Linked DNA regions of Cricetulus griseus. The protein of the gene in region 5 purifies or fractionates together with the protein of the main gene of each other region. This does not show direct contact. Links are inferred from orthologs where the notes say so. Each region holds a gene or a part of one and is shown on either strand. Other genes may lie near its edges. The genes, in order: Syncrip, Sf3b1, Hnrnpc, Safb, Fus, Ilf2 and Hnrnph1.

What was found.
Region 1: the proteins of Fus (region 5) and Syncrip purify together in Homo sapiens (affinity purification with mass spectrometry; 3 studies listed by BioGRID and IntAct, with this or other methods). This does not show direct contact. The link is inferred for Cricetulus griseus from reciprocal best matches to the Homo sapiens genes FUS and SYNCRIP.
Region 2: the proteins of Fus (region 5) and Sf3b1 purify together in Homo sapiens (affinity purification with mass spectrometry; 3 studies listed by BioGRID and IntAct, with this or other methods). This does not show direct contact. The link is inferred for Cricetulus griseus from reciprocal best matches to the Homo sapiens genes FUS and SF3B1.
Region 3: the proteins of Fus (region 5) and Hnrnpc purify together in Homo sapiens (affinity purification with mass spectrometry; 3 studies listed by BioGRID and IntAct, with this or other methods). This does not show direct contact. The link is inferred for Cricetulus griseus from reciprocal best matches to the Homo sapiens genes FUS and HNRNPC.
Region 4: the proteins of Fus (region 5) and Safb purify together in Homo sapiens (affinity purification with mass spectrometry; 3 studies listed by BioGRID and IntAct, with this or other methods). This does not show direct contact. The link is inferred for Cricetulus griseus from reciprocal best matches to the Homo sapiens genes FUS and SAFB.
Region 6: the proteins of Fus (region 5) and Ilf2 purify together in Homo sapiens (affinity purification with mass spectrometry; 3 studies listed by BioGRID and IntAct, with this or other methods). This does not show direct contact. The link is inferred for Cricetulus griseus from reciprocal best matches to the Homo sapiens genes FUS and ILF2.
Region 7: the proteins of Fus (region 5) and Hnrnph1 purify together in Homo sapiens (affinity purification with mass spectrometry; 4 studies listed by BioGRID and IntAct, with this or other methods). This does not show direct contact. The link is inferred for Cricetulus griseus from reciprocal best matches to the Homo sapiens genes FUS and HNRNPH1.

The regions. Positions count from the first base shown.
Region 1 is NC_048597.1:198,378,378-198,381,943, forward strand, and holds part of Syncrip (heterogeneous nuclear ribonucleoprotein Q), read right to left. Parts: intron 2,367-3,566; coding exon 2,161-2,366; intron 374-2,160; coding exon 224-373; intron 1-223. UniProt on the Homo sapiens protein: Heterogenous nuclear ribonucleoprotein (hnRNP) implicated in mRNA processing mechanisms. Component of the CRD-mediated complex that promotes MYC mRNA stability.
Region 2 is NC_048595.1:409,474,934-409,478,934, reverse strand, and holds the start of Sf3b1 (splicing factor 3B subunit 1), read left to right. Parts: upstream 1-1,147; 5' UTR 1,148-1,275; coding exon 1,276-1,303; intron 1,304-4,001. UniProt on the Homo sapiens protein: Component of the 17S U2 SnRNP complex of the spliceosome, a large ribonucleoprotein complex that removes introns from transcribed pre-mRNAs.
Region 3 is NW_023276807.1:207,170,401-207,174,757, forward strand, and holds the start of Hnrnpc (heterogeneous nuclear ribonucleoproteins C1/C2), read right to left. Parts: upstream 2,803-4,357; 5' UTR 2,647-2,802; intron 1-2,646. UniProt on the Homo sapiens protein: Binds pre-mRNA and nucleates the assembly of 40S hnRNP particles. Interacts with poly-U tracts in the 3'-UTR or 5'-UTR of mRNA and modulates the stability and the level of translation of bound mRNA molecules. Single HNRNPC tetramers bind 230-240 nucleotides.
Region 4 is NC_048598.1:96,961,533-96,965,543, forward strand, and holds the start of Safb (scaffold attachment factor B1), read right to left. Parts: upstream 2,809-4,011; 5' UTR 2,661-2,808; coding exon 2,472-2,660; intron 1-2,471. Other genes in the region: Safb2 (scaffold attachment factor B2), read left to right, coding at 3,504-3,674. UniProt on the Homo sapiens protein: Binds to scaffold/matrix attachment region (S/MAR) DNA and forms a molecular assembly point to allow the formation of a 'transcriptosomal' complex (consisting of SR proteins and RNA polymerase II) coupling transcription and RNA processing.
Region 5 is NC_048596.1:72,795,925-72,799,362, reverse strand, and holds the end of Fus (RNA-binding protein FUS), read left to right. Parts: intron 1-304; coding exon 305-434; intron 435-1,183; coding exon 1,184-1,285; intron 1,286-1,413; coding exon 1,414-1,537; intron 1,538-2,052; coding exon 2,053-2,153; intron 2,154-2,269; coding exon 2,270-2,414; intron 2,415-2,670; coding exon 2,671-2,710; 3' UTR 2,711-2,883; downstream 2,884-3,438. UniProt on the Homo sapiens protein: DNA/RNA-binding protein that plays a role in various cellular processes such as transcription regulation, RNA splicing, RNA transport, DNA repair and damage response. Binds to ssRNA containing the consensus sequence 5'-AGGUAA-3'.
Region 6 is NW_023276806.1:64,074,785-64,078,777, reverse strand, and holds the start of Ilf2 (interleukin enhancer-binding factor 2), read left to right. Parts: upstream 1-1,187; 5' UTR 1,188-1,314; coding exon 1,315-1,319; intron 1,320-2,058; coding exon 2,059-2,118; intron 2,119-2,557; coding exon 2,558-2,600; intron 2,601-3,993. UniProt on the Homo sapiens protein: Chromatin-interacting protein that forms a stable heterodimer with interleukin enhancer-binding factor 3/ILF3 and plays a role in several biological processes including transcription, innate immunity or cell growth.
Region 7 is NC_048600.1:64,833,128-64,837,437, reverse strand, and holds the start of Hnrnph1 (heterogeneous nuclear ribonucleoprotein H), read right to left. Parts: upstream 2,806-4,310; 5' UTR 2,782-2,805; intron 2,295-2,781; exon of another isoform or gene 2,157-2,294; intron 1,661-2,156; 5' UTR 1,629-1,660; coding exon 1,532-1,628; intron 367-1,531; coding exon 211-366; intron 13-210; coding exon 1-12. UniProt on the Homo sapiens protein: This protein is a component of the heterogeneous nuclear ribonucleoprotein (hnRNP) complexes which provide the substrate for the processing events that pre-mRNAs undergo before becoming functional, translatable mRNAs in the cytoplasm.

The DNA.
Region 1 (3,566 bases), on a different chromosome or scaffold from region 5:
CTTGAAAAATATTTAACATTAACTCTAGAAACCTCTGTCAAAATTAGATAAAACATGGTTGCAATATAATTAAAGATCTTCCTCGATGCTATTTTTACTTAAATGGTTTGCTTGACTAAATTTCATAACTTGAACTTTGCATCAAATTTATTAAGCATGGGATTTTAAGACTATAAAATATTGGTCTCTTTAGATGCCTATGAAATTTCTACCACTTTTTTACCTTGACTGCACCATCTCGCTCATCAAAATGAATGAAAGCATAATCTTTTAGTTTCTTCACTCGTTCCAGTTTCCCAAACTGACTAAATGACTTTTCTAAAATTTCTTCTGTTACAGTATTGGCAAGGTTGCGTACAAACAGCACTTTTACCTGAAATAAAAAAGCAAATTTTCCAGAATTCAATTTCCAAAAGCAACCACCCCATCCTACAAAGTTAACTTGAAACACAACCAGTAAGTATATATAGTTTTAATTTCCTGTGGGTAAATGCCAAAGAGTGAAATTGCTGATAAAAGTAAAAACCGAAACAATAATAAAGGTATTACCAAACCAAGTTCTACCACGAAAAATGTGTTCAATTATTAACAGATAAGCAAGCTAAAGCTGAAGTACACTACACACCTTACTTAAACCCCAGAACACAGGAGACAGAGGGAGGAGGATCTCTTAGTTCCAGGACAGCCAGAGCTATTATTACACAGAGAAACTCTGTATTGAAAACAAACAAAAACAACCTAGAAACATGTTGGGATTACAACACTTTAAAGCTTCAAACCTGAGGATTAGGAAGAAATAAACTTTCATTCACAAAAACTGGGGTGTAAACTGATGCAGCCCCTGTGTTTAAGGCGGTTCCTTATAAAACTAACCATATTCTTATCTTATAATCTTGTGTTATTACTCCCTATTTATATTTACTGAAGAGTTGTTAAGTTTTATGTTCCTACAAAAACTTGCATCCAGATGCTTCTAACAGCTTTATTCATAACTCCCCCCAAACAGTAAAAAGATATCCCTTCAATATATGAATGTACAAACAAAGCAGAATTTTTAGCTATAAGTCAGGGAGTGGTGTTGCATGCCTTCAATCCCAGCATTCCAACTACTCAGGAGGCAGGGGCAGGGGCAGGGGCAGGGGAATCTGGGATGCAGGGGCAGGGGAATCTAAAGGACTTCCAGGATAGCCAGGACATAAAATTCACAAAAAGAGGACATTTAAAATGTTGCCACGGACTCTCAGAAATCTATATAGGCATGATACCAATCATGTGACATTCTGAAATGGTAAAAGGGAAGAAGGGCTGTCAAGATTTGAGGGATAGAGATAATCAAAGCACAGTAATATAATTTCTGGGATACTATAATGGTGATTATCGAAACCTAAGACTGCTTTTGAAATGTTGGATAAAGTGCTTTAAAATACTAGTAACATCCTGGGAGTTGTGCTGGACAGATGGCTCAACAGTTAAAAGCACTGCCTGCTCTTCCAAAGATCCTGAGTTCAATTCCCAGAAATCACATGGTGCCTCACAACCATCAATAATGGTGCTCTCTTCTGACCTGCAGGCATACATGCAGACAGAACACTGTATACATAATAAAATTAAAAAATAAAAAAGCTTGCTGACACATCACACATGAGATCCTGGGTTCAATTTCCAGGAACATCTAACTCCCTCCTCCTGAAAATTTCTCAAAATATAATTGTTCAATAGTAGTCAGCACTCCCAATAGTTAAAACTGCCTTCTATAGATTTAAGCAAACATGACCTTTTAACTATTAAAGGGATTCCTAAAAGACAAGACAGAATATCCAAACTGCACTCAAGAGTTACCTCAAGAGTTAACCCTCAACTGTTTGCTGAAAAAAAAAAAAATAATAATAATTCATTTATTTGATTTTTTTCCTTTGTTTTGTTACAGGGTATGACTCATAAAAAAATAAAATAAAATTAATTACATCACCCTCAAATATTCAAAAGAAAGTGCTCTAGAATACCTTCCGTGCACTCACATTTTTTAGTGTATAACTAATTGCTTAGTAAACTTTTTACCTTCAAAAACATTTAAAACAATGCAAACAATTCATTTACTAAGTTTTTTCTTATGCTCCTCTTATTAACCCAATAAAAATTGTTTTACTTTACTGTAATTACCTTTGCCATAACTTCAGGATCAGGATCTTCTATGGGATCAGCCCATTCAACAGTTCCAACATTTCCCCAGACTTTGACTTTACCACTCATTAACCTACGCCTTGCCTGTGCAGCTGTTTTGTGATCTTCATATTCAAGAAAGCAAAAGCCTCTATTTTTTTTCTTGTCATCCGGTTGGTGATATAAAATGACATCTGTGAGACCCTCTGAAATTAAACAAACATCCCAGAAAAGTAGGTTAACTAGCAATTAATTTGTGTTTAATAAGCTACTCTTTAAATAAAACATGAAAAATACAAACTTTTACTAACAGCAATTATCTTTTAAAGAAGCAAAAGCCAGGTGGTGGTGGTACATGCCTTTAATCCCAGCAGAGAGGCAGGCAGATCTCTGTGAGTTCAAAGCCAGCCTGCTCTACAGAGTGTGTTCAGGACAGCCAGGGCTGGTACAAAGAAATCCTGTCTCTATAAAAACAAAAAACAAAAGCAAGAGACATACTCTCCCCCACAAAAAAAAATTATTAATTTTCCAAATCAACCCAACCCTACCCTAGCTTTCTAGCCCAGAAAACCCAACAAAAGCAAACTACTTAACTAGCCATGGGAACCATTTTGATTCCACTAAGGTATAAGACAAATAAAATTCGTCTGCTCATCTAAAAAAATGCTATCTCTTTGTCAAACATGATTAAATTAATTCATTGCATTAAAATTCTATTTGGGAGGGAATGGTCACGTGAAGACCCCTGGTCTTCAGCCTAAGTAAAAATCTTACCTAGGTTGAGCTACATCCACCACCCTTTTGCTTTTTTTTTATTCATATTTTACCATCTCTGAAATTGGTTTAAATGGCATCTTTTTCTGTTCTCAAATAACAATGGCATTCTTCAAAGGAAAATAGTAAATACTGTTAATGCAGAACACTTTTCTATGTTTCTACAGACTGTTAACAGAAAGATAATTTTCTCAACACTGTAGGTAGATTAATGTTAAAAAAAACAAAAGTACCATGTTAACAATATGTCTCTGCTTTTAACACTTGTTCCTTTAACACAGGTGAAAAGGCTTCATTCATATCTAAGAATTAAAAACCACTAGGGGGCTGGAGAGATGGCTCAGTGGTTAAAAGCACTGGCTGTTCTTCCAAAGGCCAGGTGTTCAATTCAGAGCACCCACAAAGCACCTCGCAACTGCCTGTAACTCCAGTTCCAGGAGTCTTACAACTTCACAGACATACATGCAGGCAAATAACAGCTAAAGTGTGGAAATAAACACAAAACAAGGAAGAGATGGGAAATAAATACAAAGCAAGGAAGGGATGTGCAATAATTTCACAGACTGATTTCAAATTGCAGATGTATTTCCATGTTTAGTTTTGTCTTATTGTCTTTTTAAGACAAGGTCTCA
Region 2 (4,001 bases), on a different chromosome or scaffold from region 5:
ACTACAGAGAGAAACCCTGTCTAGAAAAAATAAATAAATAAAACAAGCAAACAAAACCATATATATTTCTATGTTACGTGTTTAAGTGTTTTGCCTGCATTTTTGTATGTTTACCACATTCTTGCAGTGCCTACAGAGGCCAGATAAGGACATCAATACCTTGGAACTAGAGTTAACAGTTGTGAGAGACTATGGTGCTAGAATCGAATCTGGTTTTCTGGAAGAGCAACCAGCCTTTAACCTTTGTGTCATCTCTCTGACCTCTTCTAGACAGCTTCTAATGGTGTTTCTTGTATTTTCCACTGTCTGGAATCTGGAAGCTTTTTTTTTTTTCCCTCCTGGAGACCTGTCTCTCAGTGTAGCCCAGGCTGTCCTGGAACATGTTCTGGCCTCGAATTTAAGAGATCTCTGTTGATTTAAAGGTGTGCAACAGTTGCCAGCCTCCACACACAGCTAATTTAATGTTTGTGTCCATGCCCCAGGCCAAGTTTCATAGCAATCTGACTTCTCAATATTCAACCTTCCAGAGTCAAGTGGGAACTGGCCTTCTTTTTGTTGCTTTTTGGGGGGGGGAGGAGGGAAGCCCAGACTGTTTTCACACTGGTTAGGTAGCAGAGGCTGATTTGAACTCTGGATCTTCCTGTATAACCTCCGGCCCCAGCATTTGTTAATTGACTCAGTAGAATCTATTTTCTTTTTCTTTCTTTTTTGAGTTTTTCTATACAGGGTTTCTCTGTGTAGTTCTGGCTTTTCAGGAACTGGCTTTGTAGACCAGGCTGGCCTCGAACTCACAGAGATCCTTGCCTCCTGAGTACTGGGATTAAAGGCGTGCGCCACCAACACCCGGCTCCTTTTCTTTCTTTTTTGAGTTTTTCTATACAGGGTTTCTCTGTGTAGCTCTGGCTTTTCCGGAACTGGCTTTGTAGACCAGGCTGGCCTCGAACTCACAGAGATCCCTGCCTCCCCAGTCCTGGGATTAAAGGCGCGCGCGGGCGTTTCCCTTCTATTGTGTTCTCTTAAGAATTTAGTCCTTCGGCGCGGAATCAACCGCAGGCTTTTTAAGGAAGCCGCCCGGAGGCGGCCCTGGCCCCTCCCACTCCCATCATGCACCAAGCGGTTCCATCTAGGTGGCAGTTGAGTTGCGTGCCATAGTGCGGAGCGCGTTCCCGTGTGCGCACGCCTAGAGCGCAGCTCCTCTGTTTGTGCGTGGCGGCGGCGGCGGCGAGCGGAAGTCCTTGGGAGCGCCAGTTCCGCCTGTGTGTTCGAGTGGACAAAATGGCGAAGATCGCCAAGACTCACGAAGGTAAGCGGCCTCGGCCTTTCCCTCGCGCGTCCTGGGCTGCCAGCCTGCCGCGGCCCGCTCTCCTGGCTTTCGGCGACTTGGCGCGGCCTTTCTGGTCTCGGCCGAGTCCGCGCGGCGGAGCCTGGCTCGGCTCCTCGGCGCAGGCCGCTGCCCGCGTAATGGCGTCCTCTCGCACTCCGGGACCGGCGCTTTGTTCCGCGCTGGCTGCCGGCGTTTCCCAGTTACCTTGTCCTGACCCGAGGGCCTCCCTCGAGCGCCGGGCCCTGGACGTCCCCCGGGGGGGGGGAGCGGGGAGGCGGACGTGGGAGGGAAGTCGCTGTCGCCCCCACGGGCGCCGTGGTTGGCAGTTTGCAGCTGGGAAGCCCCGAGTGGCGGCAGCCGCTTTCCGGCTGCTCCACACGGAGTCGGCTCCGACGCAGGCCCGTTGCTCCGACCTCGGCGGTGCAGGCGTCTCCAGGCGGCCAGGCTGTGTTGTGGTGGTGCTCGGCACCCAATGATTCGGGCGGAAGATGCGGTGGCTCACTCCTTGAGCCACTTCTCGTGTAGTGTTTTTTTCTTTGAGGGACTGATTGCTAGAGAGAACACCAGACGGAAGAGAGGCGGAAAGGCAGATTTTATCCGTTGCCTAGCTGTGCTTTCAGGGTGGTAGATCATTTTACGGTGTATAGCGGGAACACAGCTCGAAACCCTGGAAGTAGACCGGATTCCATAAGAAAGTAACAAGAAGGCAGGAAGGAATTGAAGTGTCTGAAGTTGAAGCCCCGTGTCTTGGTTCCTGGCTTACAAACCAGAATTTACGCTGACAACATGGCTTCTAAGAGCCACTAAACACATCCTTTCTTGGTGTGTGGTCCGGGGTTAGAGATAAGAAACCAAGGATATAGGAAATTTGACGGTTTGCTAGGGAAACAGATATGTGAATCTTAATTCTCTTAGAAAAAACAAAGGAACGTGTACAGAGAGGTAAAGCCAGTACTTTCTGAGAGGCTGGTAACGGAGCCATTAATTTATGCTTTAGTTATTTTTGAGAGGTGGTGACGCGGTGCTGATCTAAATGGATCAGTTTTAAATTAGGGGAGGACGTCTGAGCCCGGAGGGAACATCTTGTAACAAGTCAGTGAGTCGTGAAAGATGTGAATGAGTCGTTGCCGTGGTAGGAAGAGAAGGTGTAAGGAGGGAACTCGGAGATGAATCTAGAGAGTGAATAGCACCAAGAGGTTAGATATAGTTGGGACTTTTTGAGGAAATGAAAGTACCAACACTTTTTAAAGCCAGAAATGTTCCGGCCTTAGTCTTTAAACCTGAAAGTACATGTGGTTTTGTTTTCTTTCTATATTGAGATGTAGTCTCACTATATGTTGCCGTGAAACTTACTATGTGACAAGACTGGCCTCCACTCCAAAGAGATGCATCCACTTCCCTCTGCTTCCCAAGAGCTGGGTTAAAAGGCGCCCTGTGCTTCTATGCCCACCTAATCCAACACGGCCCCCCCCCCCCCAGACAGGGTTTCTATGTGGCTTTGGAGGCTGTCCTGGAACTACTGTTGTAGACCAGGCTGGTCGAACTCACAGAGATCCGCCTGCCTCTGCCTCCCGAGTGCTGGGATTAAAGGCGTCCACCACCAACTCCTGGCTCCAACACTTTTTAAAGCCAGAAATGTTTTGGTCTTACTCTTTTGTCCTTAGACTTTCTCAGACGTTGTTTGCAAAATAACTAGAAAATTTAAGAATGTTTCCGTTTTTGTTCTTTCAGAGGTAGGTTATTTATTTTTTTCATTCTGGGAACTAATGGAGCATGGAGTGAGGGGGAGCGGTGTAACTGACAGGAACGTGGCTGACCCCAAAGCAGCCAGCCCCACTAGAAAGTTTTCACACTCCATGATGGCTTCCCCATAGGTGCATAGATGGGAGTTCCATCCCCTAATGTTATTTATTTATGGGCATTTTGTAGCTTTGATTGTTGGCTTAATGTTTTTTATGTAGCAAACCTCTGTTTAGATAAATGTAAAGTTTTTGTTTTACTTTTTCATTATAGAAGCCCAGCTAAGCTTGTTGAGCTTGTTGGTTGATTGTAGCCCATTAGCAAAAATTGTTGTTTTGAGATTGTTTTATCACTGAATTAAGTGCTGCAATAAAAAATCTGTACAAGTGCTATTTGAAAACAGGGACCTCTATGTCACCCATAGGTACAAGTCAGAAGGTGGTAAGTGCCCTCCCCCCATCCTGATTGCTCTGTGTAGACCTTGCTGTCTTGTAGACCAGGCTGACCTTGAACTCAGAGATCTACCCACTTCTGCCTCCCAAGTGCTGGGATTAAAAGATGTACACCACACTTCCTGTCAGGGTGATAACTTTTTAGTAGAACTGTATACAGCATTTGCATAGCCTCTTGCTCCTTTATGACATTTTTCTTGAATATAGTTTTTGTTTGTTTTGTTTTTTTTTTGACACAAGGTTTCCCTGTGAAGCACTGGCTGTCTTGGAACTGTAGTCCAGGCTGGCCTTGAACTCAGATTTGCCTGCCCCTGTCTCCAGGTGTTGGGATTAAATGCAAGTCCCACAAACTCCCTTCAAGAATAAAGGTTTTACATTTTTCTTTAAGCCTTTTTTTTTGGAGACAGGGTTTCTCTGAGTAACAGCCCCAGCTGTCCTGGAACTGGACTGGCTTGTAGACTAGGCTGGCCTCAGATTCAGAGATC
Region 3 (4,357 bases), on a different chromosome or scaffold from region 5:
GCCACTTCTCGCCGGCTGAGAAAAAGTTTTAAAATGTATTTTAGGCTATACTACCAAAAAAAAAAAAAAAGTTCCCACTAAGATTTAGATAAACTCCTTAAACGACACTTTAAATGATCAAGCCAACCAAGAGTTCAAAAATCACCTGGCACTTACTAAAATACAAAATCTAAGCCTGGCAGTGGTAGCACATGCCTTTTGCCTTTAATCCCAGCACTTGAAAGAGACAGGTGGATCTGAAATTGAGGCTAGCCTGGTGTACAGAGCTAGTTCCAAGACAGCCTGGGCTACACAAGGAACCCCCCCCCAAAAAAAACAAAATCTAGGTAACAATTATGACTCAATTAGAAACTGGTAGTAAAGAGCACAGCAATCTGTTCAAATTAGAATACTTTAAACAGAAAATCAGCTTTTGTCTTTTGAGAACTGTAAAGACTTAACCAGGAGCCTATACCCACTGTAGTTTTTCAAAATCTTTACTGAAACACCTGTGGTTTTACTACACCTGAACGTTGTTTTTTAATCAGCCAATTCTCCAGTAAATCTAGTTTCAAAACCATAAATCTTCCGATGAGTTGAGTGTATGAAGCTTTAGCAAATAATGAGACGAACAAACACTTAGGTTTCTCTATGTAGCTTTGTACACCAGAGATCCACCTGCCTCTGCCTCCCATTCAGAAATCCACATTTCTAACACTTTTGAAGGACTAAAAATAGAGGAAACAAGGTCTCACCAGGCCTGAGAATTCTTTGTAGACCAGACTGGCCTCAAAATCATAAGCTATCAGCGAGTTCCGCTGGACTGAAGTTGTGCCCCACCATACCTGGCCTGTATGTCTAACATTTAATGGCAGGTGTTTTTAACCAATCTCAACTACTGCCAGTAGTCTTCTTGCATACTAATTTCCGACACTTATTTACAACACTATTTTTGATGGATGCCTTCCTAGCTATTTCTCTTACCCATTTCTCACTTCACCAGAGCAAAATCTTACTCTTAAATTCTACTTCTAAGGCACACCTTAAAATGATGAGGCTTGGCAGGCAGTGATGGTCACATTTAATCCTAGCACTTGAAGAGGCAGAGGCAGGCAGATTTGGTCTACAAAGCAAGTTCCAGGACAGCCAGAAGTCATACAAAGAAACCCTACCTTGAAAAAACAAACAAATGGCTCGGAGGCGGGGCAGGCCTTTGATCCCAGGATCAGGAGGATACAGAGGCAGGCGGCTCTACCAGACCAGCCTGGTCTAAAGAGGGAATTCCAGGACAGGCTCAAAAGCTAAAGGGAGAAAATAGGTCCCCAAAAAATAAAAATTAAAACAAAAAATTAACTCCCAGATAAACTGACACCCTACACTATTAGTGCTGGGGATTAAATTAAGGGCACCTTGCATCCTAAGCACTACCACTGGGCTACATTAGCAACAGCTGTAACAAATGGCTGGGAGTTAATAGTTTGGGGGGGGGGTTCGAGACAGGGTTTCTCTGTGTAGCTTTGGAGCCTATCCTAGAACTCAGAGATCCGCCTGCCTCTGCCTCCCGAGTGCTGGGATTGAAGGCGTGCGCCACCAACGCCCGGCCCAGAGGGTTGCTTTTTTAAAAACTGCTTTGGAGCTCTCCTCTGTTTTAAAAACAAACAGCCAAAAACAAACAAACAAAAAAAAAAACCAAGATTTTACTGTGTAGTTCTGGGCTGGCTTGCAATGGATACTGATCCTCCTCCTGTCTCATGGCCTCTGGAATGCAAGAATTACAGGCATGCAATACCACACCTGGCTGGAAACTCCTTATTACCAAGTTTAGAACTGATAGGATATTGGAATATCCGGAAAAGACTATTTTGGTTTTGCTCCGGTTACCTTTAATTTCGCTATCAGCTTCCCCTAAAAACTCGATTGTCTTTTTCGTACACAGTATTCCAGTATTCTTTACCTACCTAAAAATATCTTAGTCGCTCTAATTTAGTAAATACTGTCAACCAATTTACCTATCGTTTCTCTCTCAAGACAGCAGTACCTACCTCAAGCAAAGTCCCACTAACATATATTTCAAGTAATTCGTAATCTGCAGATTAAAAGGTAAGTTGCAATTTTATTGCAATTTTAATTAACCCGTGACACTTCCCTTTTACAGAAAACACTCCGCCTTCTACCATTTATTCCTACGGGAGAAAAAGTAATGAATACTCGATCTATTGTTAACACGCCGCTCGGATGCCATGTGGCCCGCCCGGAATTTGGAAGCTTCCAGTACATCATCAGCGTAACGCTCCGCCACCCCCGCCCGACGTTGAACTTAGAAGACTTAATAACGGAATCGTTAAGACATTAAACCTCAATTAGGGTAACAAGCTTGCATTTCTTCCTTTTCACGCTCCCCTCTCCGAGTCCTGGCGGTCGAAGGCAGGCAAAGTGGCCGTTAGACACGAGCGCGCCGGCAGGGTATCCTCCGCGCCGCCCGCGGCCTGGAGGTCACCAGGCTGAACCTGCGCCAGAGCCGAGGCCTGGCGCCGCCCGACTTAGACCCGGTCCCCGGGCCACGGGAACCAACGCGGGCGCCGTTCCTGCCGCCAGGCCGTTCGCTCCCACACCCGCTCGCAGCGCCCACGAACCCGCGCCTCCCCTGCACTCGGCCCCTCCGCTTACCAAGAGTTCGGAGAGAGAGAGAGAAGACACTGCCTCTCCTACTGCGGCTCCGTGCGGAGACTCCGAAGCGACTGCAGGCAGGCAGCACACGACCGTTCGCTCTCCGGCGCTCCACAAAATGGCCCCCGAGCTCCTCTGCCGCCGAGGCGAAGGTCCAGCCCCGCCCCGCTCCTGGGGGCGTTCCTATTGGCTGAGCCTTTTCTCGCTCCCGCTCCTCATTAGATGGCGCTACCGCTCCTCACAGTGCTAGCCAATCGCGATCGGGAGTAGGTTGGTCTAGTTGCGAGAATTTCCACCTGCGTCACCGAAGCTCGTTAGTAATTGGTGGAGCTTCCTGTCACTTAGGGTATGAAGGATGGTCATTGGCCACTGTACCAGACGGAAAACTGGGTGGAATGTTCGCCTTTGTATCGCGCACAGCTTCTCATCCGGGTACCGGCGGGCCTGACTGACGCCGCGTCGGCCTATCGGCGCTTAGTGGACTGCCTAGATCCGCCCTGATCACTGCATTTCCGCGGCGCGGGGGTGGTAAAGTCTGGGTGGAGTCTGGTAGCGGGTGCAAAGGGCCTGCCCTCGCCCCGGGCCTAGGAAAAGGAAAACCAAAGTAAGCCTGAGCGTGGGGAAGAGAGTAATCCCTAGACCGCCTGGAGTGTAGATAAGACAGACCTGCAGTTTTTTTCAATTTCAGATCCTTCTCATTTCCACATTGTGTGAGCTGCCGGGAGGAGGTGGCCTCTCAGCCCACGAGGCTAGACAGCTCCTTCCAAACCTAGTCCTCTCCTGTTACCTGGACCCCTCCAAGTCGGTTGCAAAATCTGCAAACCGAATGGCCGGCCACCTCAATTTCCGATTTCCTGCAATAGTCTGACGGCCACTCAATCCCCTCAGGCCTGGCCTGCCAGTGAATTTCTGGTTATTCTGGAGGAACCTTGAGCACACCAAAATGTATACAGCCCCCTTAGAAAGGGAGATATTACCCCAAGGAGATACACTAGATCTAGGAAAGTCTGATTTAAATTTGGGGAAGGGGGATGTTGATTTTTGGGAGTGTTGATTTGGGGCTTTTTTTTTTTTTTTTTTTTTGGCCAGGTAGTGATGACGGTGCACGCCTTTAATCCCACCACTCAGGAGGCAGAGGCATGTGGATCTCTGAGTTTGACACCCACCTGGACTTCAGAGGGAGTTTCAGATCATCGGAGCTAGGTAGAAAAACCCTGTCTCAAAAACAAAACAAAATAATAATAATAATAATAAAAGAAAAAATTAAACGTTTTATTTATTCTATGTGTGTGTGTAAGCATTACGAGGGATCCGACAGGTAGGGATTCTGGCGTTCTGGCAATCTGGAGCCAAGGAATATGACAGGTCACAGTAATCATAGCAATTTACAGCCCTGCTCTAGACCGGAGGGGCTTCTCCAGCGGAAACTCAGCTTCAGTCCACCAGAGCATAGTGTAACAACTCTGCTTTACTAGGGGAAGTGTGTTTCTTTGGCGCTGGTTTCAGGGTCAGGGTGCATTTCTTTGGTTCTGGTTGCAGGGCCAAAAGTGTGTTTTGGCTGGCCCTTTTCCCTACAGTATGTGTATCTACTTAAGTGAGTTTTGTTTTTAGTTTTGTTTTGTTTTGTTTTGGTGGGTTTTTTTGTTTTGTTTTGTTTTGTTTTGTTTTGTTGTTTTTCGAGACAGAGTTTCTCTGTGGCTTTGGAGGCTGT
Region 4 (4,011 bases), on a different chromosome or scaffold from region 5:
AGGCACACTCATCTACTGGCTGTGTCATGGCCTCAGACCTTGCTATCCTGTCCTGGGAGTTGTAGTGGAAAGACTCTAGAAGTCCCATTTCGCACCCAAGGATGTCACTTGCTCATCAGGGGCCCAGCACAGCCAGGGCACCAAGTATGTCATGCCTATCAGTATTAACTGTGTCAACTATAACCACTCGGGACCCTGAGGCCTCTCCCTCCCTGCACAGCCATGTCAACACTGCCCCCAGGGAATGAAATGAGACACTTTCCTGCAGCATGCCCCTCATCCTGGGGATGTCTGAAAGTTGCTGTCCTCAGACCTCCATTAGGCCCCAAGCTCACACAACTTTTCCCAGAGCTCTTTCGAGGAGGCCTCCTGTGGTGCAGAAGGGCACAGAGGTAAGCCAGCAGGGGCACAACCCTGGGACCAAAGACAAGTGCTACCAGCAGCCCCTGCCCTCTCTCTGGGGACAGTTGGTTTTCAAACATCCCCAGGGTGAGGGACAAGTTGCAGGAAGGTGTCTCATTTCATCCCTTGGGGTGGTAAGACAGGGCTGTCCCTCCCAGGCCACCTCAGCAAATCCTTCTACCAGCTGCTCCTCTGCCCCTGTTAAAAACAACAGGAGACTGCTACCAGCTGGGTGACAGAGGCAGAAGGACAGGATCGCAGACCTGCCCTCAGATCTGACAAACAACAGGGTGTGAGTGGAGACAAGCACATCACCCTGACTACCGGCTCCCGCACCCTGCATGTCCTGCAGATGATAGCAGTGAGGGAGCGTCTTGCCTATGATACCAGTGAAGATGCAATGCCCACAGAAAAGGAAAGGAAGCTGGGGCTCAGTGGCTGGAGAGCTCACCCTGGTCTCCTCACGCATGCATCTATGTTACATGCCCATATGCACTATGTATGTTTGTGGGTCAGCGGCCAGGGGGCCAACTCAGCTGTCCTCACGGCACCATCTACTTTGTCTTACGGACTTGGCTAGAACAGCCAGGGAGCCCCAAAGGTCCTCCTGTCTCTGAGCACTAGCTTGCGACTGGCACCCCACCTGTCCTTTTCTGTGGATGCTGGGGACATAACACAGGCGTCACATTGCTGCTTCCTCCTCCTTTCCCTGTCAGCTTCTCTAAACAGTCTCAGATCCAGGAGGGTAAAATGAATCTCTGGCTTCTGTGTGTAGGGGTGCACGGGCAGGATGCCATGTCCAAAAACTAGAGGGACAGCTTCCTAAAGTGTGACACACACACACACACACACACACACACACACACACACACACACACACACTATCTCCAAGGTGGGGCTCAGAGTCCCAATCTACAAACGACAAAAGGTGGCCCAAGGAGACTGAATTTGTTGTACTGCACCAGGCTGCATGTCAAGCCCATGTCCACAAGACCCTGCCCTTCCCTAAAGGAACAGACTCAGAAGACCAAGACTGCCAAAGTGGGCAGTAGAGATGCCCCTCCACCTGCCTCTGGGACACATCCCATAGTCATCTGTCCTCTGACTCCAACCTGACTACATCCGATTGTATGTGCTATGGAGTGGGTGGCTCTGAGGGTCTTTGCTATTAGGGGCAAGCATGCTACCACTGAGCTATGTGCCCAGGCCTCTTTTTAGAGAGACGATACAAAACGATGTTTTTGAGACAGGGTCTCATTCATCACAACAGGGCCCCAAACTTCTGATCCTCCTGCCAGGTACACACCACCACTCCCAGCCTCAGGAGGCACTTGGAGCAGAACTCAGGACTTGGTATATCCAAGACAAGCACTCTACCGAGTAGCCCTTGGTCCCTACTTTTTATTTGTAAACAGTCTTGCTAAGTTGCCCGGGTTTGCCTCTCTCCCTACCCCCAGTCCAGGCTGGCCTTGGACAACCTCTGGCTAGCCCTGAACTCTGCTGCTCAGGTCGGTTTTGAACTCCCTCTGTAGCCTGGACAGGCCTTGAACTCACGTCTGACATGCCTTATCACTAACAAAACATTCTTTCCTTCAAGCACGTACCTCCCCTAGTTTAATCCTGGCAAAAAAAGTTAAAAACTTCCATCCCCTGGGCTATCCTCCGGTTTATTAACTCTGAGGGTCCCTGAAGTTTCGTATCCCCACGGGTCACTGTGTATCTTCCAAGAAACCAAACCACCCACCCACAGGTTCGGCCTCGAGAGCCGAAAAGGGACTTAGGTTCGAACCCTGCCACAGGCTGACCCTGCTGGGTGACCTTGGCCGAGTACCCTCCATCCCCCTGTGGGGTTGGGACTAAGCAGCGCAGGCAACGCGACGTCACCGACACCCGGGTCCGCGCCCGTGGTGTTCTTGCCTGCTGGTGGCATCGCCGCGGCGTTGGGATTCGAACTCCTCCCCGGCGGCCGCGGGGCCGGAGCGGAAGTGCGCGGCGCGGAGGCCGCGGGCCGCCCCGGACCCGGCGGTGGGCGTCGCCATGGCGACCGCAGGGCCCTCGGCGAACCTCACCTTCTTCAGCCGCTCCATCAGCACGCTCTTGTTGCCGCTCGAGTCGAGGTTCCGCTTCTTCAGCTCCGCCCGCAGGTCGATCACCCGCAGGTCGCTGAGCCGCCGCGTCTCGGTCTCTGACGCCGCGGAGCTCACGGCCGCCGCGCCCGCCGCACCCGCGTCTCCTAAACCCGACAGAGTCTCCGCCATTCCAGGGACCCTGGTTCCGTCGCCCGCTTCACACAGAACCGGGTCGGTGGGTTTGCGTGCGTGTATTTTTTGGATTTATTATTATTATGTTTTTGAATCTCGGCTCTCTTACCACAAAATGGCGCCGCCTGAGAGGGAACCGCTCCAGCCTCCCCTGAGGCGCACCTCGTCACTGCGCAGGCGTGCCCGGCGCGAGACGGACACGCTCAGACGCCTCTGCACAAGCGCCGTGAGCGCGGCGGCGGGCAAGGCGCAGGCGCGAATCGCCGGGTCTCCCTCTGCCGCCAGCCGCGACGCATGCGCGCTGCAGTTGCTGCGCCTGCGCGCTGCAGTTGCTGCGCCTGCGCGTTGGCGTGGAGCGTGGGAGTGGGGCCGGCCGGTATCGGAACCGCGGCAAGCATGCGCAGCCACGAAGCCGAGCGAGAACTCCAGATTGGGACAGTAGCGGCGCGCATGCGCAAGCGGAAAGGGGGTGTGAACCGCGGACAGGCGGCGCTGACGACCGGCTGCTCATGCGCATTCGTACGAGCGAGGCTCGCAAAGCTCCGACGTACGACCGGAGCGGTACGTCAGACCGGTGCGCACGCGCATTCAGCGAAAAGACGTGAGGCGGCGCTTGAGACGGGTGGTGCATGCGCATCGGCGACGCGAGGCTGGCGAAAACCGGGACGTGGGGCCGAGGCGGCGCGTCGGAGCGGTGCGCCTGCGCAGCCGCAAAGGGAGGCGGGAGGAAGCGGTGCGCTTTCCTCTTAGGCGGCGCCATTTTGTGCTCCGAGCCCTCCGGCGGTGGGCTGTGCGTGTGGATGAGGCTGCCGAGCGGGGCGGGAAGTCGCGCCGGCGAGGATGGCGGAACCTGTCACCGGGTCGGGCGACCCCGGCTCTGGTCCGGTCGCCTCGGAAACGGGAATGCGGCGACTCAGCGACCTGCGGGTGATCGACCTGAGGGCGGAGCTGAAGAAGCGGAACCTGGATACGGGCGGCAACAAGAGTGTGTTGATGGAGCGGCTGAAGAAGGTGAGCGGCAGTCCGTGCTGGCGCCGGGGACCCGGGCGTCACTGCTCCCTCAGACGTGGGGCATCCCAGCCCGAGCCTTCATCTCGGTGTGAAGTGTCAGGCACCGAGGGAAGGAGCGAGGGAGCCGAGGCTGTGTGACCTTGGCCAGCCTCTGCCCGTCTCTGTGTCTGGCGGTCCTTTGGCCCCAGAGTTTGCACGAAGCCCGGGCTGGGTGAGTGAGGAGCGCGGTGCGCTTGGGCAGGTCTTCACGACCTTGCGTGTCTGCAGCTCCCTCCCCTGCTGCCATCTCAGTGGACTCTTGTGGAGAATGCCAGGTATCCTCGTGCACGCCCGGCTC
Region 5 (3,438 bases):
TGGAGGTCTGTTTCAATAGGTTCTACATTGGCAAATTGAAACAACTTTGTTAGTTTTGAACTTGGTATACCAGTACTTTGTAACTATAGAACCATATTCTAAAACAACATAACTATAGCATGCTACTATTTGGGTACTGAAAGTTAAGTGAAGTTTTGCTGCCATGCTGGAGATTGGGCCTGTGCCATCATGGTTGCTTAAGAAAGTACTGTAACCACTGAGTGCACTCAGCATGTAGGGATGCTTTAGAACAATGAGCTGTGTGTAGGTTATATAAATTGATGATTTCTTTTGTTTTGTTTAGACAAATAAGAAAACTGGACAGCCTATGATTAACTTGTATACAGACAGGGAAACTGGCAAGCTGAAGGGTGAGGCAACAGTCTCATTTGATGACCCACCTTCTGCTAAAGCAGCTATTGACTGGTTTGATGGTATGTAGAAGATGATGGAGGTGGATGGTGGGGCTTTGAAACAGGGTCTGTTTGAGTAGTTTGGATCTGATGGCACCTCGTCTTTAATATTGTATATGGAGAGACCTGTGGCATTCAGAGAGCAATTTGGAGTGATCTGTTTGGTTCTTGTAACATATGGGTCATGAGGGTGGAACTTGGGTGATCAGAGCTTGGCAACAATCAGCTTTACCTGCTGAGCCGTCTTACAGGCACTTTGTAATTTCCCTGTAGTCTCCTTTGTTCCCATTAGTTTATAAATCTTTTTAAGAAGCAGTTTACTCTTAAGATTTTAAAAAAATTTTTCCCATATTTATTTTGTGTGCATTGGTATTTTGCCTGCATATATGTCTGTGAGGGTGTGGGATCCCTTGGAACTGTAGTTAAAGGTAGTGGTGTGTTGCCATGTGGATGCTGGGGATTAAATTCAGAGAGTAGCTAGTGCTCTTAACCACTGAGCCATCTCTCCGGCCCATTTCTCTTAGGTTTTAAAAAGTGTTTCAGATCTTTAGGTCTTTCAATTCTCTCACCATTTACTATATATCTGTGTAGGCATGTTCATGCCGTGGTATAGGCATTGAGGTCCGTGCACAAACCATGTGAAGTTAATTCTCTCTCCACAGTGTGTGCTCATGAGATTGAATTTAGGCAAAGCATTCACCCACCAAGCCATCTTGCCCTGGGGATCTAAAGCAGGCCCTTCTATAATTCATCCACCTTTATTTCTTTAGGTAAAGAATTCTCTGGGAATCCTATTAAGGTTTCATTTGCTACCCGCCGAGCCGATTTTAATAGGGGTGGTGGAAATGGTCGTGGAGGCCGAGGTCGAGGAGGTGAGCCATTTACTTCATTTACTTTTTCTGTTTTGAAGAGGTGATGGAACACAATGTGGAAGGTGAGGAAAAGAAATTTGGAAAAGGTAGGCTAACCAAACTAAGAAATCATAATTCTGTTTGTATAGGACCCATGGGCCGTGGAGGCTACGGAGGAGGTGGCAGTGGTGGCGGTGGCCGGGGAGGATTCCCCAGTGGAGGTGGTGGAGGTGGTGGACAGCAACGAGCTGGGGACTGGAAGTGTCCTAATCCGTGAGTGAATTTGACTTTTTCCTCCAAAGTTCTTAAGATTATTATCTTGATACTAGGTTAAGAGTTAGGAAGATTTTTTTTTTTTTAAATGAGATTTTGTAGATGGAAGATTGAGTTAATAGTTTATTTAGGGAAGGTTAAGAGTCTTCAAAGTAAATACCTAGAACTTTGGAGAGTATAGATAAAATGCCATGACCAGGGCAATTTATAAAGGAAGTGTTTAATTTGAGGCTCACAGTTGAGAGGGTCAAAGTGGATACTCATCGTGGCGGTGATGGGTGACTCCTGTGCAGACATATTGGAGTGAGGGTAAGAGTTCAAACATTAATTACTAAAATGTGTTTTGAACTGAACTGTGGCAAACATTTTAACCATGGAAAAGGAGGCCATAGTGGGAAAAGGGTTTAGTAATACTTTTAGTCTAGGTTTAATAATACTTTTGTTTTGCCTTGGAGTCTTGTGAATTCATGTTCTGGACTGCACTCTTCCAAATTAATTCCCTTTCATTTCTTTAGTACATGTGAGAATATGAACTTCTCTTGGAGAAATGAATGCAACCAGTGTAAGGCCCCTAAGCCAGATGGCCCAGGAGGGGGACCAGGAGGTTCTCATATGGGTAAGAAGGGAGCAGAGCTGGTTATAGAAGTCCAAGAAGACTTTGTTTTTGATTTGGAAAGGTAGTGGGAAGGAAGGTAGAAGCATGAGGCTGATATGTCATTTCTTCTGTCCTAGGGGGTAACTATGGAGATGATCGCCGTGGCAGAGGAGGCTATGATCGGGGCGGCTACCGGGGCCGAGGCGGGGACCGAGGGGGCTTCAGAGGGGGCCGGGGTGGTGGGGACAGAGGCGGTTTTGGCCCTGGCAAGATGGACTCAAGGTGAGTAAGTCTATATCAAAACAAAAAACAGCAATTGGTTGGAGTTGGGAGGAAATAAGATTTTGCTGAGTGATTTCCTAGGAAAGGACAGCTCTCAGCTGGTTTACATTATTGGGAAGGGGGAGTAGAAGAATTAGGAACCCAGTCTTAAGGTTATTTTGCTTAAGAAACGTCATTTGGGTAGCAGGGACAAGTAGGATATTTGAAGGTTGTATGCTTGGATGGTCTGGTAATTCATATCTAACAATTCTTTCAGGGGTGAGCACAGACAGGATCGCAGGGAGAGGCCATATTAGCCCAGCTTCTGAAGTTCTGAAGAACAGCTCTTCTTCCTGTACCCAGTGTTACCCTTGTTATTTTGTAAACTTTCAATTCAGGATTGCCCATGGATTTTTTTTGTGTGTGTGTCAGACTACCGTAATTGTAACCGTATCTCTGGTTCCCATTAAAAACCATCATTTTAGTTAAATTCTGTTGCTGACCCCAGTTTACTTTCTGGAGGATTGGTCTGTGTTAGGAATGTGGGGAACTAATCCCTAGTCCCCTCAGATCATCTTGCATAGCAGGAATTTGAATCATTTGTTTTTGCCTAGCATCATCTTGATTCGGTCTTGAAAAGATAAAAGAATGCTTAAGTGGTTTCTAGGAAAGCGGTAAATGATGGGTACTTAGTTTTCAGAAAAAGGACGGTGCATACAGTGGGTCACTTTAACATCTTCCTAAATCTTAACATCTGTGGGTCATTGGTATTTTGATATTTGATTCTTTGAACTTAGTCATATTTCAGCTAGGATTATAGGACTCTGGTAATTGTATAGCCCTGGCTTATCTAAAACTGCCTCCTGGTTACTAGGATTAAAGGCATGTGCTATTTCTGGTTACAATATCTAGTTGGTTTTTTTTTGTTTTTCAAGACAGGGTTTCTCTGTAGCTTTGGAGCCTGCCCTAAAACTCGCTCTCTTTTTTTTTTTTTTCTTTTGGTTTTTTAAGACAGGGTTTCTCTGTGGCTTTGGAGGCTGTCCTG
Region 6 (3,993 bases), on a different chromosome or scaffold from region 5:
TTAACTGCTAAGCCATTTCTGAGATAGCTTTCCAGCCCTAATGAACAAAAAGAAGTCTAAATCCATGATAGCAGAAATCCAGAATGGTTACCTTTCTGAGGTCACAAACTTTTGTTTTTTTGAGACAGTATCTCACTATCTGGCATAGACCGGTTATGTAGACCAGGCTGACCTTGAACTCACAGAGATCCTCTTGCGGCTGCCTTCCAGGTGCTGGAATTAAAAGCGTGTTCCACCATGCTCCGCCAAAATATTTGTTTTGAAAAAATTTTCTGTTAAATTTATTTATGTTGTGTTTATGGGTGTCACCACAGCCACAGCACACATAGTGAGGTCAGAAGACAATATGTAGAAGTCGCTGCTCTCCTTCGCGTGGGTCTCAGCAGCTTACACCTGCTGAGCCACCTTGCGGACCCGATAAAATATTGTTTATTTTAATCTTGGTGGGGTTAGGTTACTTGGAAGAAATACACGCCTACAAAAGTACACAACACATCAGTACTTGTCAGAATCACACAACACAGGGAAGTGGGGAGGACGGGGTGGAATTCGGGGAGGGGAAAGACATGATCAAAATATATTGCATGAAAAGTATTTTCAATAAAAAGAACTGTATAACAGTAATAACATCGAGGGAATAATTGTGGTAAATAAGACTCAATTATCCCTGATATTTTCGTAGGGTAAAATTATGTTTTCAGGTGAGGTGGCACACCACTGACATGCAGGCACTTGCAAGGCTTGAGGACGTAGAGATTGCTGTGAGAGTGAGGTCAGCTCGCGTTCCATTAACGAGAACTTTGTAAGCCGGGGTGACCAAGCGAGATGCTGTCTGGAAAAAGCAAAACCAAAAACAGCTGGAGAAGAAAAGACAAGTTTGTTTTATCAAAGCGAAGGCAGGAGGCCGTAGGAAAAAAACAAAGTCTCCGATAGCAGAGGATGGTTTCGATCCATCGACCTCTGGGTTATGGGCCCAGCACGCTTCCGCTGCGCCACTCTGCTATCCACTGCTCAAACCCCTTACTGGGCCCATAGAAGACCTTTACTAGGTCACAGTCCGGATTCTGAGCGCCCCCTAACGTTAGTGTAGAAAATTGCCTTCATCCCCGCTATTGTCTTCCTATTGGTTGGCTCCTTATAGGGCATTTTTTTCATTGGTTGCTGAATTGACCAATAATCACAAGGGACGGAACGAGGCGGGAGCCTATCGCGCCGGCGTTTGTTGGGACGCCCTGGCAGACGCTTCTCTGCGGACCTGATTCTTCTAGGGAAAGGGCGGTTTAGTGTCCTCCATTGTTCAGGATTAAGCGAGCCATGAGGTAAGTGGACAGAGGTTCCTGAAGGCTCCTCCAGAAACCTCGGGAGGGCGGCCTGAAACGGAGGCGGAGGACCAAGGGCCTGATTGTGGGCGCCTGGCGGCGAACAGGCCGGCGAGAGTGGAGTTGGAGGAGGCGGGTGGGGGCGGGGAATCGGGCCTGGAGGGGGCTGGGCCCAGCCTGGGAGCTGGTTTAGCACCTAGGGCTCGGGATGGTGTGGAGAGCCCTCACGGACCAAAAAGAGCATCCTCGGTCTGCAGGGAGAAGGCTGGAGCGCTGCGCATTTTCTAGCGCCTAGTGTTTGACCAGTAGGACGTGCCTGGTAACTGTTAACGCTGTGCTGAAAAGAGAAGGCACTTTACTCTGTTAGGATTGGCGAGTCTCACGGTCGTGGGTCGCTTGGTAGGGGTATGTGTGTCAGTCAGGGTCTTCACCTCATATTTTCCTGATGTGAGCTTTGATAGAATCCAGAATTAGAAGTCGGGTGTAGTGTCGCGCGCCGCAATCACAGCACTTGGGAGGTAAGGCAACAGGAGTACATAGGACCCTGTCTCAAAAACAAAAGGGGAAAAAAAAATCCAGAATTAAGACGTCGTGGGGGTGGCGTTGGGCACCATTTGGAATTAGGGAAAAGTGACTTCAGTAGTTAGAAGCGGTTGAGGTAAGTCAAATTGAATTAATGTGGCTGGTATGATGGAGACGTTTTTCAGCTAGGTGAAAGTAAAATGTATGTATTTTTTAGGGGTGACAGAGGACGTGGTCGTGGTGGGCGCTTTGGTTCCAGAGGAGGCCCTGGAGGAGGGTGAGTGTGGCTGTTTGCATCTTTGCCCCGGTTTGTTCCAGTCATCTAAATAAAGGTTTGGAGTGGACTGCTGAACTTGATTTTTGTGAAGGTCATGTGAAGCATTTCTTTTCCTGATATTCTGCTAAGTAACTTTAGCCTTTTGCTAAGAATGATATGGCTCAAAAACTCTGGAATTCGCCGGGCATTGGTGGCGCACGCCTTTAATCTCAGCACTCCGGAGGCAGAGGCAGGCGGATCTCTGTGAGTTCGAGACCAGCCTGGTCTCCAGAGTGAGTGCCAGGATAGGCTCCAAAGCTACACAGAGAAACCCTGTCTCTGAAAACAACAACAACAAAAAACAAAACAAAAAAACCCCAACTCTTAAAAGACAAAGTTGGTGAATTGTGTACTCACTTGCTTTCTGTTTAAATAATTTTGGATTGTTTTTGTGTTTCAGGTTCAGGCCATTTGTGCCCCACATCCCTTTTGATTTCTATTTGGTGAGTACTTGGCTTTGTGGAGGACTTTTCTGCCCACTGTGCAAAAAAGGGAGCACAGAATCTCCTTGTTAATGAAGTCAAGTATTGTTTGGAGTAGATTTGTGAATGAATATGGTATTGTTCATATTATGGTACAGAAATATGGTTCATAATATGATACAGAGAAAGAGAGTCTTTCTCTGTATGCCTGGCTGGCCTGGAACTCAGTGTAGACCAAGCTGACTGCAAATTCACCATCCTCCTGCCTCAATCTCCTGAGTGCTGGGACTATAGGCATGCACTGTCACATGTGGCTTAAGTTTTTATTTATTTAGTTTGAGTGCTAGGGATTTGAACCTAGGTCCTTAGCATGCTAAACCTACAACTCCAACTCCTAGTTTTATTTTATTATTGCTATATTTATTCATTACATATCACTATATAGGTATATAATATGGCTGTATCAGTAGACACAGGTTTGGTTCCCAGCACTAATATCATAGTGTACATCTGTCTGTAATTCTAGTTCCAGAGGATCTTATGTTTCTGTTGACTTCCACAGGCTCCCAAACACAGGTGCACATACATACTCTGAAGTGTTCACACATATACAATAAATAAATAAATATTCAAAAACAAAGCAATTGGTCAGCCAGTTTTCAAAGTGGCTGTAATACTTTTGTAATCCCAGGAATGGATGCCTATGACAGGAGGACCATGTTCAAGGTTTAAGATCAGCCTGGGATACAATAGTAAACTGTCTCAACAAAAACAAAACCGAGAAAACAGTGTAAACTTGGTAGGGAAGATAATTTCTTTAGTTTGATATTTAATATTTCTTCTATTATATTTGGTTATAATATAAAATAATTTTAGGATTTAATTTTTTTGTTGTTTGTTTTTTTTTTTTTTCGAGACAGGATTTCTCTGTGTAGCTTTGGAGGCTGTCCTGGAACTAGCTCTTGTAGACCAGGCTGGTCTTGAACTCACAGAGATCCTCCTACCTCTGCCTCCCAAGTGTTGGGACTAAAGGTGTATTTAATTATCTTTGAGACAGTGCCTGTATATATAATTTTGTCTGGTTTGGAACTAATAGGGATCTGCCTGCTTCTGGTTCCTGAGTTGCTAAGGGTGTGCACTATCACACACACACACACACACACACACACACACACACACACACACACACACGGTGGATCATACCCCCCCCCCCCAGGATTGTTCTGTGTAGCCTTGGCTGTCCTAGAACTCACTATGTAGACCAGGCTGGCCTTGAAACTTACATAGATCTGCCTGTCTCTGCCTTGTCCTTCCCCACCATGCTGAGATTAAAGTTATGCACCAACATGGCCCAGCTACAGTGGATTCTTTTTATTTCATGTGTATGTATACCCCCTTGTATGCCTGGTCCACT
Region 7 (4,310 bases), on a different chromosome or scaffold from region 5:
TTGACTTGAATACTGAAAGAGGTGCTTAGAATTAGTCAATTAAGTTAGAAAACAAAGTTCAGATTTCCTGGGTTTTTAGATAACTAGAAGAGCTGCCATAAACTCCCTTAGATGACCATTTTTCCATGCGGTCAAATACCTAAAATTCAGAAGGGGTAAGACCTCTATGTGTTTAAACAATTACTGTTACTAGGGCAATGTAAATCAAACCTTCAACATATCTGTGTCCCATAGTTTCTCTGTCTTTTTTCAAGGCCAATTTGACTTCATCTTCTGATTCAAGTTCAACAAAAGCCTCGCCACTCGGTCTGCCTTCTCTGGTGTAGATGAAACGAATACCTTGGGCCCCATTTTGAATTTTGCAGTCTGAAAAGAAAACAACTGTTAATACAGAATTTAAAACCTAAAACCACCCCTGGGTGATACAGAAAGTCATATTCATGTCACCACAAAAAAAAAAAAAATTTCACTCTGTAAATACTAAACCAACCACGCATTTGAACCATCAAATTACCTCAGATATATTCCTAATTCATCAAGGTAACTCAATACTCAAAGCAACTTCTAATTAAACTAGCGCCTTGCCTTCAAGTTTCCACTAACCACCTTTTTGTGCAATATTTCAGAATAATCTCATCTGGACCTGGTGACTTCACAGTATTTTCTGGTTTGGGTACCTCGTCAGCATTACTCTACCAGCAGCCACAGGATAATTTCTCATTCAAACTCCGGCCCAATACTCACCCAAGAGGGGATCAATGTTAACAACTAAAGGCTCCAAGTTGCACAGCTCAAGTCAACCCCCGTCGGCAACTGCCCCTGCAATTGCTTCCAATATACTTGGTTCTTGTTTTACAGGTTGTTTTCTGTTACCACAGCTAAATTCAGATAGTAAGGTCAACACTACAAGTACCTTTTTACAAAACCTTTTCAAAATAAAACTCCCAACCAGTCTTCTTACAACACTGGGAACAAGATTCTGGTAGCAATTATTCAAGAAGCCTACAAATGTAAAGAGAACTCTACAGTGCCGCTAAAACTTCAGCGTCCTCAGTTATGGGAGCCAGTATATTAAGTAATTAGATCTAGAGCACAATTATGAAAAATGAACTTTCTGAAGCAGAAAGCCCCTTTACAAGTGAATATATGCAAACACCTGCAGTAGGACTTCTAGAGCGAGTTAATTACTATTATTTATCCAACTACTGCTTGTCAATTTTTTTTCTCAAATGTGAGGGAGAAATTACATCTTTATTTAAATCTTCCGAAAAAACAAATTCGGAATGGATGGATGGATTGGTGCTTAGAGACAGAAAAGATGAAAAATTCCGCCGGGGCGCCAGCATCCCCAGGGGAGACGGGGGGGGGGGGGGGTTGGATTTTGCAATTATCCTTGCGTAACAGCAGGCAGCAGGGCGCGAGCAGCCAGCAGAACTAGTGGCCGCGCCCCGCTAGGGGGAGCCCGTGAGGTCCGCCCCGCCCCGCCCCAGCCCAGCCGCGGGCTCCACTGACAACTCCCGCTTCAACTCACCAGAAAAAAACCGCTGCACTTCATCCGCGGAGCAGGACCAGGGCAAGCCCCGGACCTTCACCACGAAGCCCTCTCCACCTTCTGCGCCCAGCATCATCGTCTCTTCGTGGGTCCTGGCGTCGAAACAGACTGCAGGGCGCGGGGGTGGGGGTGGGTGGGGGTGTGTGTTAGCAACAATCTGAGAAATAGTCATTTAAATGGCCCTCCCACTTCAAGGCGCCCTGCGGGCGCCGCGACAGGAGCTCCGCCTGTGCAGATGCCTGAACCCTGGAAACTCAAGCATGCAACCCGACCTCAGCTAGCAACCCGATGCCCGAAGCCACTCTGTGCGCTCAGTGTTGAGGCCCTAAGCTAAGGAGATCCCGGCCTAGAGCCCTGGTGGAGGCAAGGAAATGGCGGCCGCCGCTTCCGCTCCGCCTCCTCAGACACCTCACACAATAGAAGCGGCGCGGCCTGCAGGCCTAGGCGGCGCTGCCACGCCGGCGGGACACCCGCGGCTCCCTGTGGTAGCCTGAGCTTGCCACGGCCCCTCTGGTTATAACCTAGGTTCGGGGATAAGCAATCGTCACAAAAATAGGGGTCCGCGAAGGGCTCTAGCAGCAAACGAAGTCAGACGACCACTCACCTCCACACAAAGCCTCGGCGTGGCTGAGGAGAAGTGATTAGCGGGCGCCTGCGCAGCCTAAATAAAGCCCTTCGGACAAGCTCTGCGCACGCGCACCCTGTCGTCTGCCCCGCCCACTTGCGTCACACAGAGATTAGACGCATGCGTAGTGTCAAAAACCGGGCCCTCTTCCCGCCGTCAGATTATTACACGCATGCGTTTGGGCTCAACCTTCTTCATAAACTGGCCGTGGCTTTTTTTTTTCCGCGCCTGCGCCTTTTTGCAACTATTGCGCTTGGCGTCTCAGCGGTTTATCGTTTTGCTTCATGCGCATGCGTCTTCCTTCAAACCGTTCTCTAGACATACCCGCCAGAGTGGGGGAGGGGAATGGCGACAATCAGCTCCCTGTAGGGACTGGATAGTAACCCGGAGTTCGCGGTTTGCAGAGTCTGTTGTTCTACCCTTAATCCGCAGCTTTGCACCCCGGCTCCTGTCAGTTTTGAAAGCCAGCACGAGGAAAAGGAAGTCCTAGCCTTTCTTCCCCCAAACCGATGGGAGCTGAAGAGCCGAGCATCTTCTAGGTGCCGCCCCACCCCTGCGCGCAAAGCCGTTGTCACCGCGGGGCACCCGGTGCCTGTCCCCTTACCTGCCGTTTTGGGGGGCTCAGCCCCGGGCCCAAACGGGCTGCAAGTGCCCGAGCCAGAGTCCTGTACCCCACTTTGCCCAACGAACTCGCACTCTGCGAACCCCTCGCACGAGAAGTGCTCTGTATGCTGCGCCTCGCGAGCGAAGGCTGAGTCCAGGACTCAGCCCCGGAGCTCTGCGGCACACCACCGTCTTTCCCAGGTGAAGTCACCGAGGTCGAGAATGCCCCCGGGTCACCCCGTGTGCACAGACAACGATAAATGCGTAAAGTTACTGCATTCAGAGCAGAACTGCAGAGAACGGATGATGCCCGGAATCTCTGGATTTGACTATCTGACGCACCCCAGCCAGCCCTTGTAGAAATTAACAATGAAACAGTGTTGGGCGGCGCCACAGAGTGGTAAACCACTGAGTGCCATCACAAGAGGTTACAAGCAAAATACATTTTCCTCCCAAGTGCAATATTAAGGAGACCGAATGTGTTTTGGATAGTTTGATAAAAATGGAGAGCCCGGCGGTGGTGGTGCATACCTTTAATGCCAGCAAAAGTAGGCAGAAGCAGACAGATCTCTATGAGTTCAAGGCCAGCCTGGTCTACAGAGCGAGTTCCAGGACAGCCAGGGCTACACGGATAAATCCTGTCTCGAAAAAACAAAGAAAAATGGAGGACTCAAAGGAAAAGTGCGCAGACTCGGCCATAACTCGACTCGTTAGGCCTGCACAAGGGTGTTAAGTATACAGGAGGGCATCATAGCCTTCAGCTAGAGAGCAACAGGAGCTGTGTAACGAGAAACTTCAGGTGCAAGGGAAACTCAGATCAAACAGGCAGGGAGAATAACGGTGCATGACCTCATCTGTAAAGGATCTAGAGAAGATGGAAAACACTCTCTGAGATCCTCGAAAGGTGAGTCTTTCCATCAAGAAGGCTGATGAAAAGCAAGAACACAAGTCCAGCCCAAGCGGAATGCAACTTCGAGACCTGCTTGGGCAACAGAGTGCGTTCAAGGCAGCCTCAGAAATTTAGTGAGGAACTGTCTTAAAAAGAATGCGGGAGAAATCTTAATGGTAGCGTGCTTCCTAGCATGTACATAGTGGAAGAATGCTAGCCTAGCATATATATTCTCCCCTACATCATGAAATCGATTGCCAAAAAAAGGACTCTAGTTAATTACAGCATTTGAGAGCCCTGGTCTTATTATTGGTTTATGATTAGATGGGAGGGAGCGATGCATGCTAGAGACAGAACCCAAGACTGTGCAAACCTGCTCTACTCCTGAACTACATCTTGAGACACACATACCTGTTTATGTTTTAGTCGTCTTTCTCACTTTGCACAGGGGTGTGCCCATATTCCCAGCTACTTGAGATGCTGAGATAAGAGAATCACCTCAATTTAGGACTTCCAGATATTCACCTAAACGGAGGGGGGTTAGTTAGAGGGGGTTGGGAGGAGTTGTGGCAGGCAGCGATTGTGTGTGACTTTAATCCCAGCACTCAGGAAACAGAGGAAGGGGGATCTGTGAGGCAAGC